Linked DNA regions of Xenopus tropicalis. The main gene of each other region encodes a partner of the protein of the gene in region 3 in a complex. Links are inferred from orthologs where the notes say so. Each region holds a gene or a part of one and is shown on either strand. Other genes may lie near its edges. The genes, in order: gpaa1, pigu and pigs.

Region 1 (7,159 bases), on a different chromosome or scaffold from region 3:
CTGCTGTGTCCTCTTCCTCCCCACTCCGCCCTCCCAGCTCACCCTCCTGCTCCCCACTGTGTCCTCTCCCTCCCTGCTGTGTCCTCTCCCTCCCCACTCCGCCCTCCCAGCTCACCCTCCTGCTCCCCACTGTGTCCTCTCCCTCCCTGCTGTGTCCTCTCCCTCCCCACTCCGCCCTCCCAGCTCCCCCCTCCTGCTTCCCACTGTGTCCTCTCCCTCCCTGCTGTGTCCTCTCCCTCCCCACTCCGCCCTCCCAGCTCCCCCCTCCTAGCTTCCCCCTGCGTCCTCTCCCTCCCTGCTGTATCCTCCCAGCTCCCCCTCCTGCTTCCCACTGCCAGGGGTGAGAATGTAGCGGGGAGCAGGTAAATTACCGTACCTTGGGGCCATAGTTTGAGTATCCCTGCTATAGAGCTAATAATCATTCTCCCTCCTTTTACCTCTCCCTGACAGATGGTGAAAGGCACCAACGTGTATGGGATACTGAGAGCTCCGCGTGCTGCCAGTACAGAGTCCTTGGTACTGAGTGTTCCTTGTAGCGAAGGGCAGAACAATAACCAGGCCGTCGGGCTTCTCTTGGCGCTGGCATCGTACTTCAGAGGTGAGAGATCCAAATGCGCTGCCTGCAATCTATGGTACTGGCCCTCCTGGTAACCATGTTCCTGCGCACGGGTCCAGTCTCCCTTCATGCACCCTTCCCCCCTTGGGTGCCGCGGCTGGCACTGTATGTGGAGCCAAACGTAGCCATTCATTTCTAATTTTGTGCTCAAAGGGCAGATCTACTGGGCTAAGGACATCATCTTCCTGGTGAACGAACACGATCTGATTGGGATGGAGGCCTGGCTGGAGGGCTACCATGATGTGAATGTGACAGGTATGTGATGCCTCCGTGCCCCGGGGCACCTTGGTGGATATCAGTGTTTGCTCGTCACGGGGCCCTGTACACCTTCAGGCTGTGGGTAGGAGATTTAAGGTCCCCATACACGGGCCAATTGGGACTGATTCGGCAGCTTATCGGCCCGTGTAGGGGCAGAAACGAGGGGCCTGCCCGACCGATATCTGGCCTGAAATTGGAAATTAGAAAATTCAGTCGGATCGGGGACCACATCGGCTCATTGATGCGGCGTCCGAACCAACTGGCCCATTGCCGCCAATATAATTTGATTGTTTGGCCCGAGGGCCAAAAGATCGAAATATCCTACACACTCCCCGATATCGCCCACCCGTAGGTGTATGGGGACCTTTATTATTCTACTTATTACTAGAGTTAAAGGTAAACTTTTCCTTTTACTATGTTGTAGAATGGTCTATTCTTAGCAACTTTTCAATTGGTGTTATTTTTTTTCCAGTTTTTTTAATTAATTGCCTTCATTTGCAGCTTTCAAATAGGGGTTACTGACCCCGGCAGCCAAACCCTATTGCTCTGTGAGGCTCCAGTTTTATTGTTATTGTTACTTTTTATTCCTTATCTTTCTATTCAGCCCCTCCCCTATTCATATTGCCCATGCCTCTTTCATACCACGGTCTGGTTTTTAGGTTAAATTGGACCCTAGCAACCAGATAGCTGCTGAAATTCCAAACTGGAGAGCCGCTGAACACAAAGTCAATAATTCAAAAAACACAAATAACAACAAATGTAGACCAATTGCGCAGGTCTCTTCAATAATGGAGTTAACCAGTTATTGGTACTCGCACATAGCGGTTTGGCCTGCGCTGCCTTCCTGTAGGTGGAAGGTGCTTGATTAATGCTCTGACGCAGCCCAGCTCCTACCTCATTAATAGAGTAGATAATTATTAGAGTATTACATGCCTTGCCGATCTCCCTCACACTCATGTCCTTGCAGAGATAAAGTCGTCGGTGATGTTGGGTCGGGCCGGAGCCATTCAGGCCGCCGTTTCCCTGGAGATGAGCAGCGACGTGATCACCAGCTTCGATTTGGTGGTGGAAGGTTTAAATGGGCAACTACCCAACCTTGACTTGGTCAACCTGTTCTACGCCTTCTGCCAGAAGAACACGCTGCTCTGCACCATTCAGGGCAAGGTCAGGCCGCTCCCATTGCCTTTCCTGTTGCACTTCCTTGTGCTCCTGTATTGCCTGGCTCAGCCCTGATCTCTCTCTATTACATTCAGCTTCAGAGAACTGACTTCGACACCTTCCCCGGGTACCTGCACAGCCTCCAGACAATGCTGATCATGATGCTGAAACAGGGCTCTGGGAGACCCCAAGGGGACCACGGCCTCTTCCTGCGCTACCACATCGAAGCCATCACCCTGCGGGGCATCAACAGCTTCCGCCAGTACAAATATGACATGAACACAGTGGGAAAGTAAGTGGCCATCTTCCCCCACTGTCACCTTGATCCTCACTGGCGGTTTGAGGAGTTACTGAGAATGACTAGAATGGGGGGTGTACCACAGTTTTCAAGCTTCGTACACCTCACAATCTAGTTGTTCTCAGTATCTCCTCACAACCCAGGTGACTTTTAGTGGCTTAAACCAGGGGCGGGCACTCTAGGCAACCATGCCCCCCCCGTAACGATTAGGGGGTGCCAGGCAGGAGCCTCTCCTGCCTACCCCTAGTCCTCCTTCATTGTCATAGAGCAGCGTGTTCTTATGGTGCTTTGGTGCGCATACACAGTTCGTGGGGGGTGTGTGCAATTCTATGGGTCATTGCCCCCACCGCTAATGACAAGCGGCAGGGCAATGACAAAGAAGGAGGACTATGGGTAGGCAGGAGAGGCTCCTGCCTGGCGCCCCCTAATCGTTGCGCCCTAGGCAGCTGCCTCTTCTGCCAACCCCTAGTTCCAGCCCTGGCTTATACACACATACATACATACATACATACTTACATAACATACATACTTGCATACATACATACTTACATACATACATACATACACACATACATACATACATACATACTTGCATACATACATACTTGCATACATACATACTTGCATACATACATACTTACATACATACATCATATCATGTGTAAATCCTGTGGATACATTTCTGGAAACGTCTCCATAGTGATGTGGAAACTTCCAGCCCCAACTTGGGCATCTTTGGTGACTGTTTAGAATTCTGACTCCCTCGCAATATGCTAGTGCAATGGTCGCCAACTGGTGGTACTTATTTTTGAATTTTTGGAGGCATTAAGACCAAACAGAGCCTCCTGTAGGCTGCCAGTCCAAATAGGGGCTTCAAATAACCAATCACAGCCCTTATTTGGCAGCCCCAGGTACCTTTTTTTATTCTTGTGTTGCTCCCCAGCTTTTTATGTTTTAGGTTTGCGTCCCCTGTTCATTACTTAAATGTGCTGTTTAACTTGCTGACACCATCATTTTTTCTCTTCTATAGGACCCTGGAAGGAATGTTCCGGAAGCTGAACAACCTCTCGGAGCGCCTGCACCAGTCGTACTTCTTCTACCTGCTGCCGTGCCTGTCCCGCTTTGTCTCCATCGGGATTTACATGCCGGCCATCGGCTTCTTCATCCTCATTTTGATCCTCAGGATATCCTTTCCCCAAACCCCGGGGGCTGTACTGTCCCCCTGGAGCACAGTTGGATATGGGTAGCCAGTCATAGTGCTACCTACATACAGAAAGATAAACTGCGGTTTCCTCTTCGGTCTGCCTAGCTGCTGATTGGCTGCCTTCCTACAGTGGGAGGGACTGTAAGTTCTCCTACACAGCCAGCAGAAAGTGGAAGGTTTTCTATTAAAGCTGAACAAAAGTAAACTTTAAAGGGGCAGTTCATCTTTTGGGTATGTAGTAGAATAGGGGTGGCCAATACGTCGATCACGGTCCACCCGTGGATTTCTGGTGGGCCTCGATGAAGCCGGGGATGCGGAAGTCACGTACATACGCATTCACGCCGCACTTCCGCATTTCCAAGTCTGCCCACCCCTGTTGCAGAATGACCAATTCTAAGCAGCTTTGCAATTGGTCTTCCTTATTTATTTTATATTGTTTTTGAATTATTTGCTCCCTGCTTTCTCCTTAACGATGTAATTACTCCCTGGACCTGTGGATTAAGCTGAGGCGCTCGGATGGGACGGCTGAGGACGGAGTCATGGATACAGAGCAGGTACCGTTGGGTCTGTAAGGGATCAGAGGAGGCAAAAGGGCTACGAGAAACAACCACTTTGACCCCCCAGCACAGTAATATATATATACATCTATCTGTTTCTTCCTGTAGGATCCAAGACCCGGAATCCTGTCCCTCGCGACCCCCATTGTGATCTGCCACGCTACCGGCCTGAGTCTGTACTACCTGCCAGTAATGAGCCAGGAGATGGCCACTGACCACTTCCCTGTCTCTGAATCCGAGGCCGTTGTTCTCACCGCTATCGCCATCTACGTGGCAGGACTTGCACTGCCCCACAACACACACAGGTACTGAGCCACAGCTGCGCCAGCTTGAGGGGCCCTTGTGGGCAGGTAGGCAGTGGCAGCGGGCTGGCAGCACCCATGATTGGCACAGCTACTGACCACTAATGCACACATGTAGTGACCTGGGCACGTTAGCCTTAGCTGCTAGTAGCCACAGAGGCTAGCACCAACACTATAGGCCTGACTTAATAAAATTCGTTGCCTTTTGGCCTTGAAAGTCGTATAAACTCAACATGTATACATTCGAATTAAACTCGATCGCTGCTGTAATTATAAAATGGCACGATAATGCCTGAATTGTTAAAACTCAAAATTCAAGTTTAAGCGGAACGTTAATTTCCATGGGGGGATTCATTTCCCCTTGAAACTGGGTGAAATAGAAAGCAATGGGGGGATTCATTTCCCCTTGAAACTGGGTGAAATAGAAAGCAATGGGGGGATTCATTTCCCCTTGAAACTGGGTGAAATAGAAAGCAATGAGGGGGTTAATTTCCCCTTGAAACTGGGTGAAATAGAAAGCAATGAGGGGATTAACTTCCCCTTGAACCTGGGTGAAATGGAAAACAGTGAGGGGGTTAACTTCCCCTTGAAACTGGGTGAAATAGAAAGCAATGAGGGGATTAATTTCCCCTTGAAACTGGGTGAAATAGAAAGCAATGAGGGGATTAATTTCCCCTTGAAACTGGGTGAAATAGAAACCAATGAGGGGATTAACTTCCCTTTGAACATGTGCCAAGGACAGGCTGTCAGTGACTATTCTATTCCTCTACTATTCTGAGCTTCCATAGGAAGCTTAAACCTTCCAACAAAGCAAGTTAACGATAAATCCCCCCCCATTCAGGGATGTAGAGCCCAAACACGAGGTTCTGATGCCCCTTGTGCTTCGGTGTTGCCCCTCAGGCTGCCCCCTTGTGCTTCATTATTACCCCGTAAGGTGTTGCCCCTCAGGCTGCCCCCTTGTGCTTCATTATTACCCCGTAAGGTGTTGCCCCTCAGGCTGCCCCCTTGTGCTTCATTATTACCCCGTAAGGTGTTGCCCCTCAGGCTGCCCCCTTGTGCTTCGTTGTTACCCCGTAAGGTGTTGCCCCTCAGGCTGCCCCCTTGTGCTTCGTTGTTACCCCGTAAGGTGTTGCCCCTCAGGCTGCTAGGGGTATAAGCAGTGCAGTAGCCATTTGATGCTTTGCCGTTACAGAGTTCTGAGCGGCGCCGGGTCGGACCAGGGCTGGATGACTCTCAAGCTGATCTCCTTACTGTACCTCGCTGTCCTTCTGGGCTGCATCTCCCTCATTAACTTCTCCCTGGGATTCCTGCTGGCGGTCACTATCGTCCCTGTGGCGGCCATTGTGCAACCTACTGGGCCAAGGTGAGTAGAAATCCTCTGCTCCGATCCACTGTGTAACGGTGCCGCTGTTGGTCTTGTGTGGTCTCTGATCTGTCACAGTCCCGCCCGGCAATTAATAATTATTGTTCTATTTCTAGCAACTTTGCAATTGGTCTTCATTATTTATTTTTTATGGTTATTGTATTATTTTCTGTGAGGCTCCAGTTTTATTGTTATTGTTACTTTTTATTCCTTATCTTTCTATTCAGCCCCTCCCCTATGTGCATTCCAGCCTTTCATTTAAATCACCGCATGGTTGCTAGGGTAATTTGGGCCAAAACTGGAAAGCTGCTAAATAAGAAGAATAACTCAAAAACAATAATACAAAATGGAGACCAATTGCAAACTGTCTCAGAATAGCAGTGTCTACATCCTACTAAAAGTAAACGCAAAGCTGAGCAAACCCTTTTATGATTGAGCCAAATCCAAATCCTGCCAAAAAGGGCAAATCGTGGCCAAATCGGGGAGTCGGTGTGTCCCTAATATCCGACTGGGGGGCCCCAATGTAATGAGATTATGTTCCATAGAGGAAGGTTCTTGGTTCTACACAATATTATTTCAGTAGTTTCAGTGTTTGTATGGAAACTCACTAAGAATAAACAGGTCTTGGCTATGACCCACCCACACTGCATGGTGTTAACCCTTTCTTCTCTCCCTAGGGCCCTGTATGCGCTCCTCCTGGTCCTGATCACCCCGGCAACCACTCTCCTCGGCAGCATCTTCCTGTACCGGGAGCTGATCGAGTACCCCGTAAGCTTGCTGGAGTGCTGGCAGCTCTTCCTTCAGGCCATCGCCGGGGGCATGTTGGACCATTACCTCTATGGCTCTTTGCTCTTCCCCTTCATTGCGTTCTTCGTCTACCCCTGCTGGCTGCAGCTCTGGAACGTGGTCTTCTGGAAATAGGAGGGGGGCAAAAATATCTCTCCATTCTCTGGCCTTAACTAGACTGTGGCCAGGTCGGACTCTCGGAACCAGAAGTCCTATTGCTATTGGCTGAGAGACCCGGCCAGGTTGAACCCAGCTGTGTGTCTCGCTAGAGAGCGCTGACTATACGGGTAATGGAGAGGGTTACAGGGCAGCAGAGGAGACAGAACTTGTGCATGAAGGTTTGGGTTGTACGGACTTATTTATATTTGTTTTGTTCAGACAGTGACTCCCAAGAGCTGACAGTCGGCATTTGGCTGTGAATCCGGCTTCTTACAACCCAACGGCCCAATATATAGAGACAAAATCAATATTATCCCTCACTCCCCACTAGGAAATGATACGACTTGAAATCTACAGCCTTGAATTGAAAGTGTATTAAAGAGACTTGTTTTTGGAGAATATTCTGTTGTTTTCTGCTCGTGTCTGAGGCTGTCGGACTGCCGGGGGTCAGAGAGAGG
Region 2 (7,159 bases), on a different chromosome or scaffold from region 3:
GTACAGTACAATCCCAGCAACTATAATCATATCGAAAATTATTCTCCTAATGCAATTTGATCCATCAGCCTATGCATGACATATCCAAAAGCTTTATTGGAAACTGGAAGTTGCTGACTTGAAAGTTCCAGCACTCATAGTTGTTATTCAAATTGACCAGAGCCCTTTTTGGCAACACAGCAGTAAGAATAAAATCAACTTTGCCAGGATTTGTTGGTCCAATTGGCAGCACTCTCAGTATTTCCCTCTATTAGTATGAATAAATGGAAAGGCACTTACACCTGGACAAGTGAGCCCACATTGGTAGTAGGGCCATATAGAGAGCCACGTCACCTACAGTGGGGTAGGACTTAAAGATAGAGATGACGGCAAGCTGCATGAACATTAGGAACATAGGATGATCCCTGCAAATAAGAGACAGAAAGTTTGAGCAAAATATAGATTACGGAGCAACATTCATTGTATCATAAGCACAGGTCTGTATCAGCAGCACTACACGTGGAATATTTACTTTAACTTGATGGTGAGAGGCACGATGTAGAAGAAAACATTGATCTGAAAGACGCAGACAAAGAACAGACTGAAGTGTTCGAACATTTCCGCGAAGAAATACCAAAACAGGCCGATATTTGGTGTCAGGTCTGGTACAGAGAGTCTGTAAACAGAAAATATCAAAAGGCATCATATAACACAAATCCCTTAATCACTTTTTATTACAACTACTGTCATACAAAACTATTATTTTGCTTAGTTACTTTAAAGCACTGCAGAATATGTCGGTGCTACATTAATAAAGGATACTAATAATATTTTTTTTTTTTTTCTTTTTTTAAAAAAAGAACTTACATGAAGCCATATATAGAAGGTATGAAATCCCAGGAGTTGAGCAAGAAGAAAGAGTGACAGACTAGTACACACAAACAACCAAGGTACATAGAGCAATACTGGCAGCTGAACAGCCAGAAGGATGGACTCTTCATCTTTATTGGGATAAATTCTTTCTAAAAAATGAAATCAAAAACATAATTACTACACAAAGCCATAGTATATTTTGGGTGCAGACACTAGAATATGTCACTGCCATTAGTACACTTTGGGTCTGGGGGGGACTGAGCCCATAAACATGGCACTGCCATTAGTACACTTTGGGCCTAGGGGGGACCGAGCCCATAAACATGACACTGCAATTAGTACACTTTGGGCCTAGGGGGGGCTGAGCCCATAAACATGGCACTGCCATTAGTACACTTTCGGCCTAGGGGGGACTGAGCCCATAAACATGGCACTGCCATTAGTACACTTTGGGCCTAGGGGGGACTGAGCCCATAAACATGGCACTGCCATTAGTACACTTTGGGCCTAGGGGGGACTGAGCCCATAAACATGGCACTGCCATTAGTACACTTTGGGCCTAGGGGGGACCGAGCCCATAAACATGGCACTGCCATTAGTACACTTTGGGCCTAGGGGGGGCCGAGCCCATAAACATGGCACTGCCATTAGTACACTTTGGGCCTAGGGGGGACTGAGCCCATAAACATGACACTGCAATTAGTACACTTTGGGCCTAAGGGGGACTGAGCCCATAAACATGGCACTGCCATTAGTACACTTTGGGCCTAGGGGGACTGAGCCCATAAACATGTCACTGCCATTAGTACACTTTGGGCCTAGGGGGACTGAGCCCATAAACATGGCACTGCCATTAGTACACTTTATAAGTAGCAGTTGCATACACATCCGTTTCACCAGGCACCTGAAGCAAGTAGAGCAGCGCCGGTGGCAATAAGGTGATTGGATACAGGGACTGATAGGTTGCCACTGACAGAAACACAGCACTCAGTAACCGGCTACCTGAAAAACAAAACAGGATAAAGATTAGTTTTTGACATATACAGCTGTGCTCAACATGAGCAAAATAAAAGCCCTTTCCCCCCCCCCCCCCCCACAATTGCATACTGCTTTAAATAATAAAACCTTTTTAACAAAGGCAAAAGACTGCATGTCTCAGACCATATAGAAACAGTAGGGAGATACACACCTTTCACAGTTGCCAGGATGAAGAGGGCAATAACTGCATTGTTAATGACACACGTAGATTTGGCCACACAGGACAGAACTGTGTATGGATTCAGCAAGTAGCTAGAGAGAATAATAGTGCCAGTGAGAAATTTCCATTGAAAAGGCCCGTGGTTCCAGTTAAAGCAAACCTTAATGACATACATGATAATTTCATGCTTTCAAGCAACAATTTGGGGGAAGACCCTTTTTCTGTTACAGCATAGTAATATCCCTATGCACAGCGTGTGGCCCATAGAAAATGGGTTTGTAAGAACTTGACAGGCCTGCACCGGGCCCTGACCTCAACCCAACTGAACATGTGGGGGATGGATATTAATAAGGCCTGACTCCCAACATTAGTGCCCAACCCCTCTAATGCTCTTGTGAGAGAACAAAAGCAAATCCCATCAACTTCATATACACACCCATGGTTTTGGAGATATTAGACAGGCACAGTCCAGATACTTTTGGCCATATACAGTATAAACAACAAGTAGGCAGTGTTGAATGTATATATTGCTTGTTTGGGTCTCTGTAATTGTAGCGCCAGGGCCTATTTTGAAACCCAGTCCAGACATGTATATTACCACTTACAATAAAGCCACCTTCAATGGTACATAGTACATCTCAGTCGGTACCCTTAGGAGATCATGTCCTTCCTGTGAATATCTCTTCAGCTCCAATAAAAGCTTTTGCTTCTTAAACTGCAGAGGAAAAATAGAACGCCTGCATTAATCCCATTACAAGCAGTTGACAGGAAGAGGCAATACGTTTTTAGCAATGAATCCCTGTGGTGTTGGGTTTATATAAAATCTATGAATAGCTTTGCCCGATAGAGGGGCACCGATCTTTAAGGTTTAAGGCTGAAGGCACAGGGTTGTAATTGCTCTGCCGATACACAGTTGAGACAATGCCTGATCAGCACATAGCTGTCTATATTACACATTGTACAAAGGCATAAACTAAAGATTATGTAGGTCTGTCGCAGAAAAATGATGCTAATAGCTTTTTGGCCACATCCTCTTCCGGGTAATCAATATAACTAAATCCAACTCACTTCCTGTCTGTTTAAGAGGAAACAGTCACTTTTTTGATTTACCTTAGAAAACCCATCATGCAAGTCTCCGTTTCAGACCAGCATCTGATGTTTTTAGCTTCTTACTCTGAAGCAGAGAATAGATTGCCTTCAAATTCTCAAGAGAGATATTACTATGTCCAGCAGGAAGCAGATATTGATTCCTGCTTACAGTAAGATCTGAGCCAAATAAGCCTTAAGCAAAGAACTTTACAGCATTACCTTCCATCTGTTATTTGGAGTATAACTCACTCCAAAATATTCCTGTAGAAATTAACATTTCTGATCCCGTTTCATGAATCTAAAACCAATCTTACCATTAATTTGTTGTAGTCCTTGACGGCAAGGTACAGAGTTATAGCAGTGAGGGCATCTGTTATCTGGGGGGAAAGAATGAGATTTATTGCAAAATACCCACGCCACCGACACACAGGTCAACAAAAACAATATAGCAAGTACAGACAACCTCCGGCTCTGCAAACATCAGGGTTACAGGTAGATGTAGCTCAGCAAATACTTATTGAAACAAAAAGGGCAAAGACACACTGAGCTACAGTCATGTGAAAAGGACACCCCCAAATATTCAGTTCTTTGTTAAGACATACCGATGTCTAATCTTGTTTTTATTTATCTGTGGATTTAATTGCAGGTAAACAAAAGATATCAACACAAATGTGTATTCTGAGGAAAAAGTTAGGACACCATACTCGCTAATAGCTAGTGTTACCCCCTTTGGCTGAAATAACTGCAGTGAGACACTTCTTGTAGCCATCTACCAGTCTCTGGTATTGGTCTGAGGAAAGTTTGCCCCACTCCTCAATGCAGAATTCTTTCAGCTGTGAGATGTTTGAGGGGTTTCTTGAATGTACAGCTCGTCAAGTCACCCCACAGCATCTCAATGGGAATAAGAGCTGGGCTTTGACTCGGCCACTCCAGGACTCTCCATTACTTAGTTTTCAGCCAGTCCTTGGTGGATTTACCGGTATGGTTTGGGTCATTGTTGTGTTGCAGGGTCCAGTTCTGCTTCAGCTTTAATTTTCTTACAGATGGTCTCACATGTTCCTCAAACACCCTCTGATACACAGTAGAATTCATAGTAGATTATATGATAGTGAGCTGGCCAGGTCCTGCTGCAGCAAAGCATCCCCAAACCATGACACTTTCACCTCCATGCTTCACAGTTGGTACGAGGTTCTTTTCCTGGAATGCTGTATTTGGTTTACGCCAAACATGTCCTCTGTTCTAGTGTCCAACTAATTCAGTTTTAGCCTCATCTGTCCAAAGAACATTATTCCAGAAGTCCTGGTGTTTGTCTACATTCTCTCTGGCAAACTTCAGTCTGGCCTTGATGTTTCTTTTAGAGAGCAAAGGTTTCCTCCTTGCACACCTCCCATGCAAGTTGAAGTTGTCCAGTCTCTTTCTGATTGTAGAGCCTGCTGTAGGTCCCGTGATGACATTTTAGGGTTTTTAGGGACTTCTTTTAGCATCTTGCGGTCTCACATTGAACTTGCTTGGACGGCCAGAACTGGGCATGTTGGCAGTTGTTTTGAAAGACTTCCACTTGTAGACTATTTTCCAGACAGTGGAATAGCTTTTAAATCCCTTACCAGACTTATTAGCTGCTACAATCTTCTTTCTGAAGGCCTCAAACAGCTATTTTGATCTTACCATGGTGTTCACTCTCACCTCAACAGCCAGGAGCACACCAAACAAAATGTCTGAGGTTTAGCTGATGCCACACGTGGCGTTTTTACGCTGTGTATTTTCTCAGCCTAAAAACGCCGCACAAGCCACACAGCCCCTGACTATGGTGTTTTTCAGCCTAGTACTGGTGACATAGCAAATCCCGTTTCCATGGTGCCAATAGTGCAAAATAGTAAAAAACGCTGCGTATTTCTGCTAGGTCTGGCAGCTGCCTTTGTGTATACATAGGAATAGCTTGCTGTGCAAATACTGGCGTATTATGGCAAACGCTTGAAAAATCCGTGGTAAGGTGTTTTCTAGCGTATTTACACATTGTGTGGTTTGCTTCGAGTCTTTTCTATGGAAGATGATATTGTGCGTTTTTCAGCCGGCGAGAAAATTAGAAAATACGCAGCGTAAAAACGCCGCACAAGCCACACAGCCCCTGACTATGGCGTTTTTCAGCCTAGTACTGGTGACATAGCAAATCCCGTTTCCATGGTGCTAATGGTGCAAAATAGTAAAAAAATGCTGTGTATTTCAGCTAGGTCTGGCATCTACCTTTGTGTATACATAGGAATAGCTTGCTGTGCAAATACTGGCGTATTTCAGCCAACGCTTGAAAAATCCGTGCCAAGGCTGATGCCACACGTGGCGTTTTTCCGCTGCGTTTTTTCTCAGCCTAAAAACGCCGCACAACCTATACAGCCCCTGACTATGGCGTTTTTCAGCCTAGTACTGGTGACGTAAGCAAATCCCGTTTCCATGGTGCTAATAGTGCGAAATAGGAAAAAACGCAGCGTATTTCCGCTAGGTCTGGCATCTGCCTTTGTGTATACATAGGAATAGGTTGCTTTGCAAATACTGGCATATTTCGGCCAACGCTTGAAAAATCCATGCTAAGGCGTTTTCTAGCGTATTTCCGCATTGTGTGGTTTGCTTCGCGTCTTTTCAAGTTATTTCTATGGATGATGATATCAGGCGTTTTTCAGCCACTGAGAGAATTAGAAAATACGCAGCGGAAAAACGCCACATGTGGCATCAGCCTTAATAGGACAAACCTCCTTCACAATGCTGAGTAATGATGTTCTTATCATGTGCACCTGATGTGATACACCTGTGGGTGATTTTAGCCATTTAAAGCGGGACTAAATGTGGGGGTGTCCTGATTTATTCCTCACCAGAAATTGCATTTTTGTAGAATTACATTTTACAGAAGATTTTGAAAAGTCTTTTCTTCAGTTTTAATTGGTTAGTTATATTACTTGAATCTCCCAGTATTGTTAAAATGTAGATGAAATATCCATATCTCCAAGAATACAAAAATCATAGGGTGTCCTAATTTTTTTACATGACTGTACTTAGTAGCAACTACTTGTCATGGCTACTAATCCCCAGAAAATAAATGGGAAAGAAAAACTGTCAAGGTTGGGGGTTGTTTCTCTGGAGAAAAGGTGCTTGTGAAAGAACACGTTTGGGACAGCAGAGCCACCTGGAGCTCTGTCAGCTGTTCTGTTCTTTCACCATCCTTGCCTCCCATAAAGCAGACTTTGCCTGTGCCCCCCTAAATTAAATAGAGACAAAGGTACGGTTATACACTTACCATGAATACTATCTCTGCATAGTCTACAAGGAAATGGAAGAGATATAAAATGAGCGGCGTCTGTTGAAAAAAAACAAATGTCAAAATTAAATTTTTGAATCTAACTCTGTATTATTCTAAATACGCATGTGACCTACACTTCCTATGAAACCGTAGCATTGTTTTGGACACTTACTACTCAATATATTTAATTGCAGGTACAAACATACACCCACACAAACCAAAATTAAGCAGTGGGCGGCGCTCAGCCCACAAACAAGAGTCAGAAACATACAAACTAAGCTAGATAACACTTATCTACTAGAGTTCTTTCATGTAATGCAACTGTGGATTGCATTTAACTAGAGCTTCAAAATATGAAAGCTTTAAAAAGTAAAGCTGGCCATACACGAGCAGATCCGCTCGCTTGGCAATGTCGCCAAGCGAGCGGATCTTCCCCCGATATCCCCACCTACGGGTGGGCGATATCGGGGAGCATTTAGGTAAAAAAAATAATCCGATCGTTTGGCCCTGGGGCCAAACGATCAGATTATGTGGGCGGCAATGGGGCAGTCGGATCGGGGACCGCATCAACGAGCCGATGCGGTCCCCGATCCGACCGGATTTTCTAACCTGGCCGATCGAGATCTGGCCAATCTCAGGCCAGATCTCGGTCGGCCAGGCCGCTCTGCTCTCCCCAGACACGTGCCGATTAGCTGCCGAATCGGTCCAAGGGACCGATATCGGCAGCTATAGTC
Region 3 (7,259 bases):
AGTGGAGTTTGCCCCTTCTCTGCATTGTCTTTTGCTTGTACCCAAGTTACCTAAGTTTCTAGGCAAGTAACGCCAGGTTTCTAGGCAAGTTTTGCATAACTTTCGCACTGCGACCAGGCCCCCTTCCCGAAGCAGATTTTCATGTGGCCTGGCACAAGTGTAACCCTTCTACCCCCCCCCCCCCCCGGTGGCAGCCCTGAATACACAGGTTTCCTTTCACTACAAGAGTAAGGCTAATGCCATGAAAATCTGCCCCAATGTTGGCATCATCCTTCCTCCTTGCTTGCACCTGGAACTACTGTGTTAGCCAGAGTGCAGGCACGAGCATTGGATTTTGCATACGCAAGCATTTCCACACAAAATCTGACTTAATGGTTCCGGGTTTTTTGTCTGGGGTAACATACTGGGCATAAGAGAAAGATCCTAGGATGGAATCTTTAAGAAAGGACATTCATTAAGACTGTAAGAAAGACGTTTTCACTATAATGATGGGAACTATTAAATGGATTTAACTTTCCAAGGGTGTGGTATAAATGAGATGAGATAGGGCCCCTGCAGACACAAGAACATTTTATTGGGAAGTCAATCTGGTCCCAGCTTGCAGCATACATGCTCCTGGTTTGTGATTAAGACCAAGGTGCCAGGGACCTTGGTAACAAAATTTCTTATCAAAAACTCAGGCATTCAGTTTGTTTACAAATTGTTCACAATGGCTAGTATAATAATCACAAGTGCAGTTTCTTTATCAAATAGGTTTGACATTTTGCACAATTTGCCCAAAGAAAATGATGATTTTGTTGCACATCACTCCCCAGCATTTCTCCGTATTCCGTTTCACAATTGTATTGTACTAATACTAACTAACTACTAATACATATAGGGTTTAATGGATTTGCAAATCACCCCATTCTTTTTATTTACATTTTACACAGTGTCCATAGTGTTTTTCTCTGGATGAAAATAAAAGTGCTATGTAAAACAATAATCTTATTTTACCAAACATTTTTTCTCCTCTTGGAAAATGGGTGGTAAAGCATTTTATTAAGAAACCACCAGTACCTTGCAAACTCTTCAGACCAAGTGCTTCCTCCTCATCAACGCTTGTCCTTCTATACTTGAACTCATAGTGACGGGTGATACTTGTCTGAGCTGATTAAAACAAACAAAATTAACTGGAAAGATTATACATGTATGGAGCACACAGTTTCCAATCAACAGGAAATAGATAAGCAATGAATACTACAGGGGTATAGCTTTATTATTATGAATGCCAGTGTCTAGAACAGGTATCAGTTTTCTGGAAACCCATTATCCAGAAAGATCTGAACTGTGGGAAGGAGAAATCCTATGGACTCTTATTTTAAGCAAATAATTCTAATGTTCAAAAATGTCTTTTTTTACTGTAATTTACTTTATGGTAGCTATGCTGCATGAATCCATATTGGTGTCAAAACAATCCTACTGGGTTTATTTAATCTTTAAATACATTTTTAAGGTATGCAGATCTAAATTAAGGAAAGACCCTTATATGAAAAAGCCCAGGTTCCAAGCATTATGAATAAGAGGTCCAATACCCATACTCCAGTGGCATTTATATGTTTCTTAGGAACTGTTAATTACTGTATAATCAGGCATTCCAAATGTCCTGTGGGCACTATGTATTGGACTTGGCTTCTATAGATTTCTCTGTATTTGTTCTGTCTCTTTTTTTTTTAGTCCTTTATTTAAAAGGAATATGAATTGCCTTATTCCCAATAACTCACTCTTGGTTATAAATAAATATCTATTTCTTACAGTGACGCCCATATATGCCATATATGACTTTGCCTACAGAGACAATAATAAATATATGTCTGCTGAAAACATTTACTTACCATTTAGTACAGTCTCTGTCTCCTTTAAACCAGTTGAGGGAACGTTCCTTTGTTGCTCTGCAGTCAGTGTTGCTTTCCCAAATATTATCTCAATTGGCACAGTAAGATGGAGCTAATTAAAGAACAGCATGACAACAGTTACAAAAGAGCCCCTTAAGATTGCAAGTCCTTGCAGGCAGGGTCCTTATTGCCTACTATACTGGTTTGTAGGTATGTACAGTGCTGTGGATATTGGTGTGTACCCTTATGTACAGTGTTATGGGGGGGAAAAAAAAAACGCTGCACTCCGTATTTTCTAATTTTCTCAGCGGCTGAAAAACACCCGATAACATCATCCATAGAAATAACTTGAAAAGACTCGAAGCAAACCACACAATGTGTAAATACGCTAGAAAATGCCTTAGCACGGATTTTTCAAGCGTTGGCCGAAATACGCCAGTATTTGCACAGCAAGCTATTCCTATGTATACACAAAGGCAGCTGCCAGACCTAGCGGAAATACGCTGCGTTTTTTGCTATTTCGCACTATTAGCACCATGGAAACGGGATTTGCTACGTCACCAGTACTAGGCTGAAAAACGCCATAGTCAGGGGCTGTGTGGCTTGTGCGGCGTTTTTAGGCTGAGAAAAAACGCAGCGTAAAAACGCCACGTGTGGCATCAGCCTTAACTGGACCCTCGTCCATCATTGAGTGCATTGCCACGGGGCTCACATAATTAAATGATGTAGTCTGCTATAAAACACACCCTATCGCTTTTCTGTCAAAAGACATAGTTGTTCTCCCATGGAATACAAAGACCCTAAGGCAGGGATCCCCAAACTTTTATACGTGTGAGCCACATTCAAATGGAAAAAGTTTTGAAGAGCAACGCAAGAATTAAAAAAAATTCCTGGAGGTGCCAATGACAGCTATAATTGGCTATTTGATAGCCCCTATGTTGACTGTAAGCCTACAGAAGGCTCTGTTTGGCAATTACACTGGGGTTTATCAAAGCTTGTCTCCTAACCAGAAATTCAAAAATAAGCACCTGCTTTGAGGCCACTGAGAGCAACATCCCAAGGGGTTGGGCAAGCAACACATTGCTCACGAGCCACTGGTTGGGGATCACTGCCCTAAGGGAAGGTTACCAGATCACTGGAAAAACCAGGGAAAATGCAGCCAGAAGGGTTTCACTGATTGCAATTTCATTTAAACACAACCAACCCTGCAACATGCATTCATTAGATGCGTCTATGAATTTTCAAGTGATCTGGTAACTCCATCCTAAGCTTAAACCAAGCTTGCATGCAGCACTGTGTATACAGACCCAGGAACAACTCAATGCACTCCATTATGGCAGCACAGGGAGTTGCATATGTCAGCAGTTTTCTGCCTATTGGGAGACCTTGATCTGGCTGTCAATAGGGATGTCCAGATTTGTAGTTAAAAAACAGCAGGGTGGGAAACCTCTCGGCTACTTGCCCCTATCCCAGGATCTCACCTGTAAGGTTTCCAGCCCTCTGATATCGGAATAAGGCAGAGAGGCGCGGTACGTTTCGGTAGTTTTCCACCACAAAGGAAGCCCCAAAACGGCAGTAATCAATGCGATTGAAATCGCCACTTTCTTCCCCCGGGAAGCCTCTTTTCAGAAAACAAGAACAAATACTCAGTCAGCTACTGCGCCACATGTATACGGCGGCGCGCCTTCCCATACACTGAATTATAACAGCACCACTTACCGATAGCATCAAAACTTCTGACGGGCGCCGCCATGTTTGCTTTCTTCTTCCGCCTTGTCAATGCGGCTAGTTGGTGATTTGCAGAAGTGTAAGCCAATCAGGCGTCAGAAAGTTTCACGTTAACCAATCAACGGTCGCAGAATATTGTAGCCTCGAATTGTCACGCAGAGTCTAGGAAAGCTGTAGGAAACCCAAGGCGGTCTGTAAGGCGGCTCATTTTATCAGCCGCTTTATTTGCTAAAACAGTGTAGCCAGCTTTGGACTGCGTTTATGGCGTTGTTAAGTGTTTAATGTAGTGTAATTATCTCTTTACACAATTATCAAGTAGAAGTATACTAGAATTATTGTTGTACCACACAGAGCAAGTCACACTTTTTTGGAATGTTGAATTGAAAACTAAATCCCCCAGCTATTACTTGCTTTTTTAAGCGTTGTTCTTACCTTACATAATACTAGTGTAAATCTCCCTGGGTAAGTGAAACTGGATTGGAAGGCACTCATGTTATGTCAGTGGGCGGGGCTATAGAAATAAATGTAGGAAGAGCCCCCACTTCCTCCAATGCGTTTTGGTTAGTGCCCCGGTTCTAAGTGGAAGATTACAAGTTATCTAGCTTTGGTTGCCTCAGGGGAGGAGGGTAACATTTTTGTGTGGAGATACTACCAAAATAAGGCTTTCCATCAGCAAACTTCTAATTATATAGGCATACAGGGTTTGTTGAGGAAACTAAGCGTTTCCCAATTCTCATAACTCCCTGCCTACCTACAACATTTTACAAATGTCCAGGACCAGACTGTCTAGACCAGGGGTAGGGAACCTATGGCTCGGGAGCCAGATGTGGCTCTTTTGATGGCTGCATCTGGCTCGCTACTAAATCTTAAATAATAAAAAAAAATAATGGGGGTCATGGCCTGCGCTCGGCGGATAGAAGACATGTTCTAAGCCTTCTATTCGCCAAGCGCAGGCCACGCCCTCCTCTGCATTACATCCGCATCCGGCATCCTTGGGACCCACCCGACCTTGCCCCGCAGCATCCGCGGCCAAACATATTGTATGGCTCTCATGGAATTACATTTTAAAATATGTGGTGTTTATGGCTCTCTCGGCCAAAAAGGTTCCCGACCCCTGGTCTAGACTCTATGGCATCTCACAGAAGCCCCTCTGGCATTTGCCAGAATCCACAGATTGCCAGTCCACCTAGGGACCATGTTGAAAATTTTCCAACAATGCACTTACCAGTTTGTAATACCCTGGGCACCCCTTCTCAATCTGACCTGTTCCGTGGGCCCAATTAAATCTTTTAAGCTATCACTTCTCTCTTTTGAGGGTGTTTTTATAATCTTTTGCCTATGATTAAGTATCATGTGAACATAAAACGTGTAAGACAATTATCTGACTCAGTGAGATATGCTCATTAAGTATCTGCTCTCCATTATACGGTGATATCTGCTCTTCTAAAAACCTAATGCAATTTGCATTATTTTTTGTTTCAAAGCAATTAAGCTGTTTTTAAACTGCTTCCTTGTGTCTTTCCTGAGCAGAGCAACATCAAAGGAGTTCTGTGTTTTATTTTTTTTTTGTAACTTAAAAAAAAAATTTTTTTTTGTACAAACTGTTTAATGTCTCTTTACATTATTTGTACATTGTTATATTTATAACATTTATAAACCAAAAAGAGGAAAAGAAAGTGTAAAAAAAAAAGGCAAGAAAAGCAAAACAGGAACAAAATAAAGGACCGTTTTTAACGTGGAGTTATAGAGGGGCAAGGTGAGGCAGATTTTGTGGTGTTGTCACTGGATTTGTTTTAGTGGCGTCAGTTTCTCCATGGGGGAGATGCTGGTGTGGGGCTCTCCGCTTGGTTTCATTGAGTGGCTTTCTGAGAAGGCCCAATTTTCAGGTAGGCGGAGTGTTATTATTTTCCATGGTTTGGAAGTAGTCCCAACTATCCCAGATATTATGTCTTTGTAGTGTGTTGGATATTTGTGCTGTCATTTCCTCAAATTTTCTATTGTTTTCTACCCTGGAAATGACTTCTTGGATGGTGGGGACTACTGTAGATTTTCATTTAGCAGTAATTGCTAGTCTAGCCGCAGTGGCTATTTGGTTAACCTGTTTTTGGGTCGAGGTGGTGGTCTTTGGGAGGGGGAGTCCCAATAGTAAGTGGGATAATTCTATATGTATTGGTGTTTTTAGGACTGTTTGTATCAAGTTGCCCATTTCCAGCCAAAAGTTAGAGATTTTGGGGCAAGCCGAAAAAATATGGTGTAGCGTACCTCTTTGGTGGCAGTCTCTCCAGCACATGTGGCTGCTATTGGGGTAGATTTTGGAGATTCTGTTTGGGGTAAGATACCATTTCATTAACACCTTATATGCACTTTCTTTCTGCTGGGTGCAGACTACCATTTTGCTGTGTTTTACTTTTGAACTTACAGTGGTGTGAAAAACTATTTGCCCCCTTCCTGATTTCTTATTCTTTTGCATGTTTGTCACACAAAATGTTTCTGATCATCAAACACATTTAACTATTAGTCAAAGATAACACAAGTAAACACAAAATGCAGTTTTTAAATGAGGGTTTTTATTATTTAGGGAGAAAAAAAATCCAAACCTACATGGCCCTGTGTGAAAAAGTAATTGCCCCCTGAACCTAATAACTGGTTGGGCCACCCTTAGCAGCAATAACTGCAATCAAGCGTTTGCGATAACTTGCAACGAGTCTTTTACAGCGCTCTGGAGGAATTTTGGCCCACTCATCTTTGCAGAATTGTTGTAATTCAGCTTTATTTGAGGGTTTTCTAGCATGAACTGCCTTTTTAAGGTCATGCCACAACATCTCAATAGGATTCAGGTCAGGACTTTGACTAGGCCACTCCAAAGTCTTCATTTTGTTTTTCTTCAGCCATTCAGAGGTGGATTTGCTGGTGTGTTTTGGGTCATTGTCCTGCTGCAGCACCCAAGATCGCTTCAGCTTGAGTTGACAGATGACCGGACATTCTCCTTCAGGATTTTTTGGTAGACACAGCAAGCCTTCCAGGTCCTGAAGCAGCAAAACAACCCCAGACCATCACACTACCACCACCATATTTTACTGTTGGTATGATGTTCTTTTTCTGAAATGCTGTGTTACTTTTACGCTAGATGTAACGGGACACGCACCTTCCAAAAAGTTCAACTTTTGTCTCGTCGGTCCACAAGGTATTTTCCCAAAAGTCTTGGCAATCATTGAGATGTTTTTTAGCAAAATTGAGACGAGCCATAATGTTCTTTTTGCTTAAAAGTGGTTTGTGCCTTGGAAATCTGCCATGCAGGCCGTTTTTGCCCAGTCTCTTTCTTATGGTGGAGTCGTGAACACTGACCTTAATTGAGGCAAGTGAGGCCTGCAGTTCTTTAGATGTTGTCCTGGGGTCTTTTGTGGCCTCTCGGATGAGTTGTCTCTGCGCTCTTGGGGTAATTTTGGTCGGCCGGCCACTCCTGGGAAGGTTCACCACTGTTCCATGTTTTTGCCATTTGTGGATAATGGCTCTCACTGTGGTTCACTGGAGTCCCAAAGCTTTAGAAATGGCTTTATAACCTTTACCAGACTGATAGATCTCAGTTACTTTTGTTCTCATTTGTTCCTGAATTTCTTTGGATCTTGGCATGATGTCTAGCTTTTGAGGTGCTTTTGG

Evidence for each region.
Region 1: pigs (region 3) and gpaa1 share a complex: the UniProt entries of both Homo sapiens proteins name them as parts of the GPI-anchor transamidase complex. The link is inferred for Xenopus tropicalis from reciprocal best matches to the Homo sapiens genes PIGS and GPAA1.
Region 2: the proteins of pigs (region 3) and pigu are in contact, whole or in part, in a cryo-EM structure (PDB 8IMX), measured with the Homo sapiens proteins. The link is inferred for Xenopus tropicalis from reciprocal best matches to the Homo sapiens genes PIGS and PIGU. Residues at the interface, in NP_149975.1 of Homo sapiens: Ala4, Gly5, Ala8, Thr9, Glu12, Arg15, Arg18, Ala19, Phe22, Phe23, Val26, Leu30, Leu34, Trp35, Thr38, Thr39, Leu510, Leu511, Phe513, Ile521, Tyr522, Leu525, Phe526; in NP_536724.1 of Homo sapiens: Gln118, Phe282, Glu283, His284, Phe285, Leu287, Phe288, Phe289, Cys291, Val292, Phe293, Ile295, Phe299, Tyr300, Ile302, Pro303, Ile306, Lys307, Lys309, Glu310, Thr417, His418.

What each region holds. Positions count from the first base shown.
Region 1 is NC_030682.2:151,228,467-151,235,625, forward strand, and holds the end of gpaa1 (glycosylphosphatidylinositol anchor attachment 1 protein), read left to right. Parts: intron 1-450; coding exon 451-598; intron 599-769; coding exon 770-871; intron 872-1,841; coding exon 1,842-2,038; intron 2,039-2,127; coding exon 2,128-2,324; intron 2,325-3,360; coding exon 3,361-3,514; intron 3,515-4,016; coding exon 4,017-4,088; intron 4,089-4,199; coding exon 4,200-4,396; intron 4,397-5,585; coding exon 5,586-5,756; intron 5,757-6,433; coding exon 6,434-6,677; 3' UTR 6,678-7,100; downstream 7,101-7,159. UniProt on the Homo sapiens protein: Component of the glycosylphosphatidylinositol-anchor (GPI-anchor) transamidase (GPI-T) complex that catalyzes the formation of the linkage between a proprotein and a GPI-anchor and participates in GPI anchored protein biosynthesis. Binds GPI-anchor.
Region 2 is NC_030686.2:41,151,804-41,158,962, reverse strand, and holds part of pigu (phosphatidylinositol glycan anchor biosynthesis class U protein precursor), read right to left. Parts: intron 6,483-7,159; coding exon 6,423-6,482; intron 3,517-6,422; coding exon 3,454-3,516; intron 2,766-3,453; coding exon 2,656-2,765; intron 2,143-2,655; coding exon 2,042-2,142; intron 1,855-2,041; coding exon 1,757-1,854; intron 1,002-1,756; coding exon 847-1,001; intron 656-846; coding exon 512-655; intron 405-511; coding exon 280-404; intron 1-279. UniProt on the Homo sapiens protein: Component of the glycosylphosphatidylinositol-anchor (GPI-anchor) transamidase (GPI-T) complex that catalyzes the formation of the linkage between a proprotein and a GPI-anchor and participates in GPI anchored protein biosynthesis.
Region 3 is NC_030678.2:34,643,444-34,650,702, reverse strand, and holds the start of pigs (GPI transamidase component PIG-S), read right to left. Parts: upstream 3,811-7,259; 5' UTR 3,628-3,810; coding exon 3,594-3,627; intron 3,496-3,593; coding exon 3,356-3,495; intron 1,987-3,355; coding exon 1,875-1,986; intron 1,150-1,874; coding exon 1,060-1,149; intron 1-1,059. UniProt on the Homo sapiens protein: Component of the glycosylphosphatidylinositol-anchor (GPI-anchor) transamidase (GPI-T) complex that catalyzes the formation of the linkage between a proprotein and a GPI-anchor and participates in GPI anchored protein biosynthesis.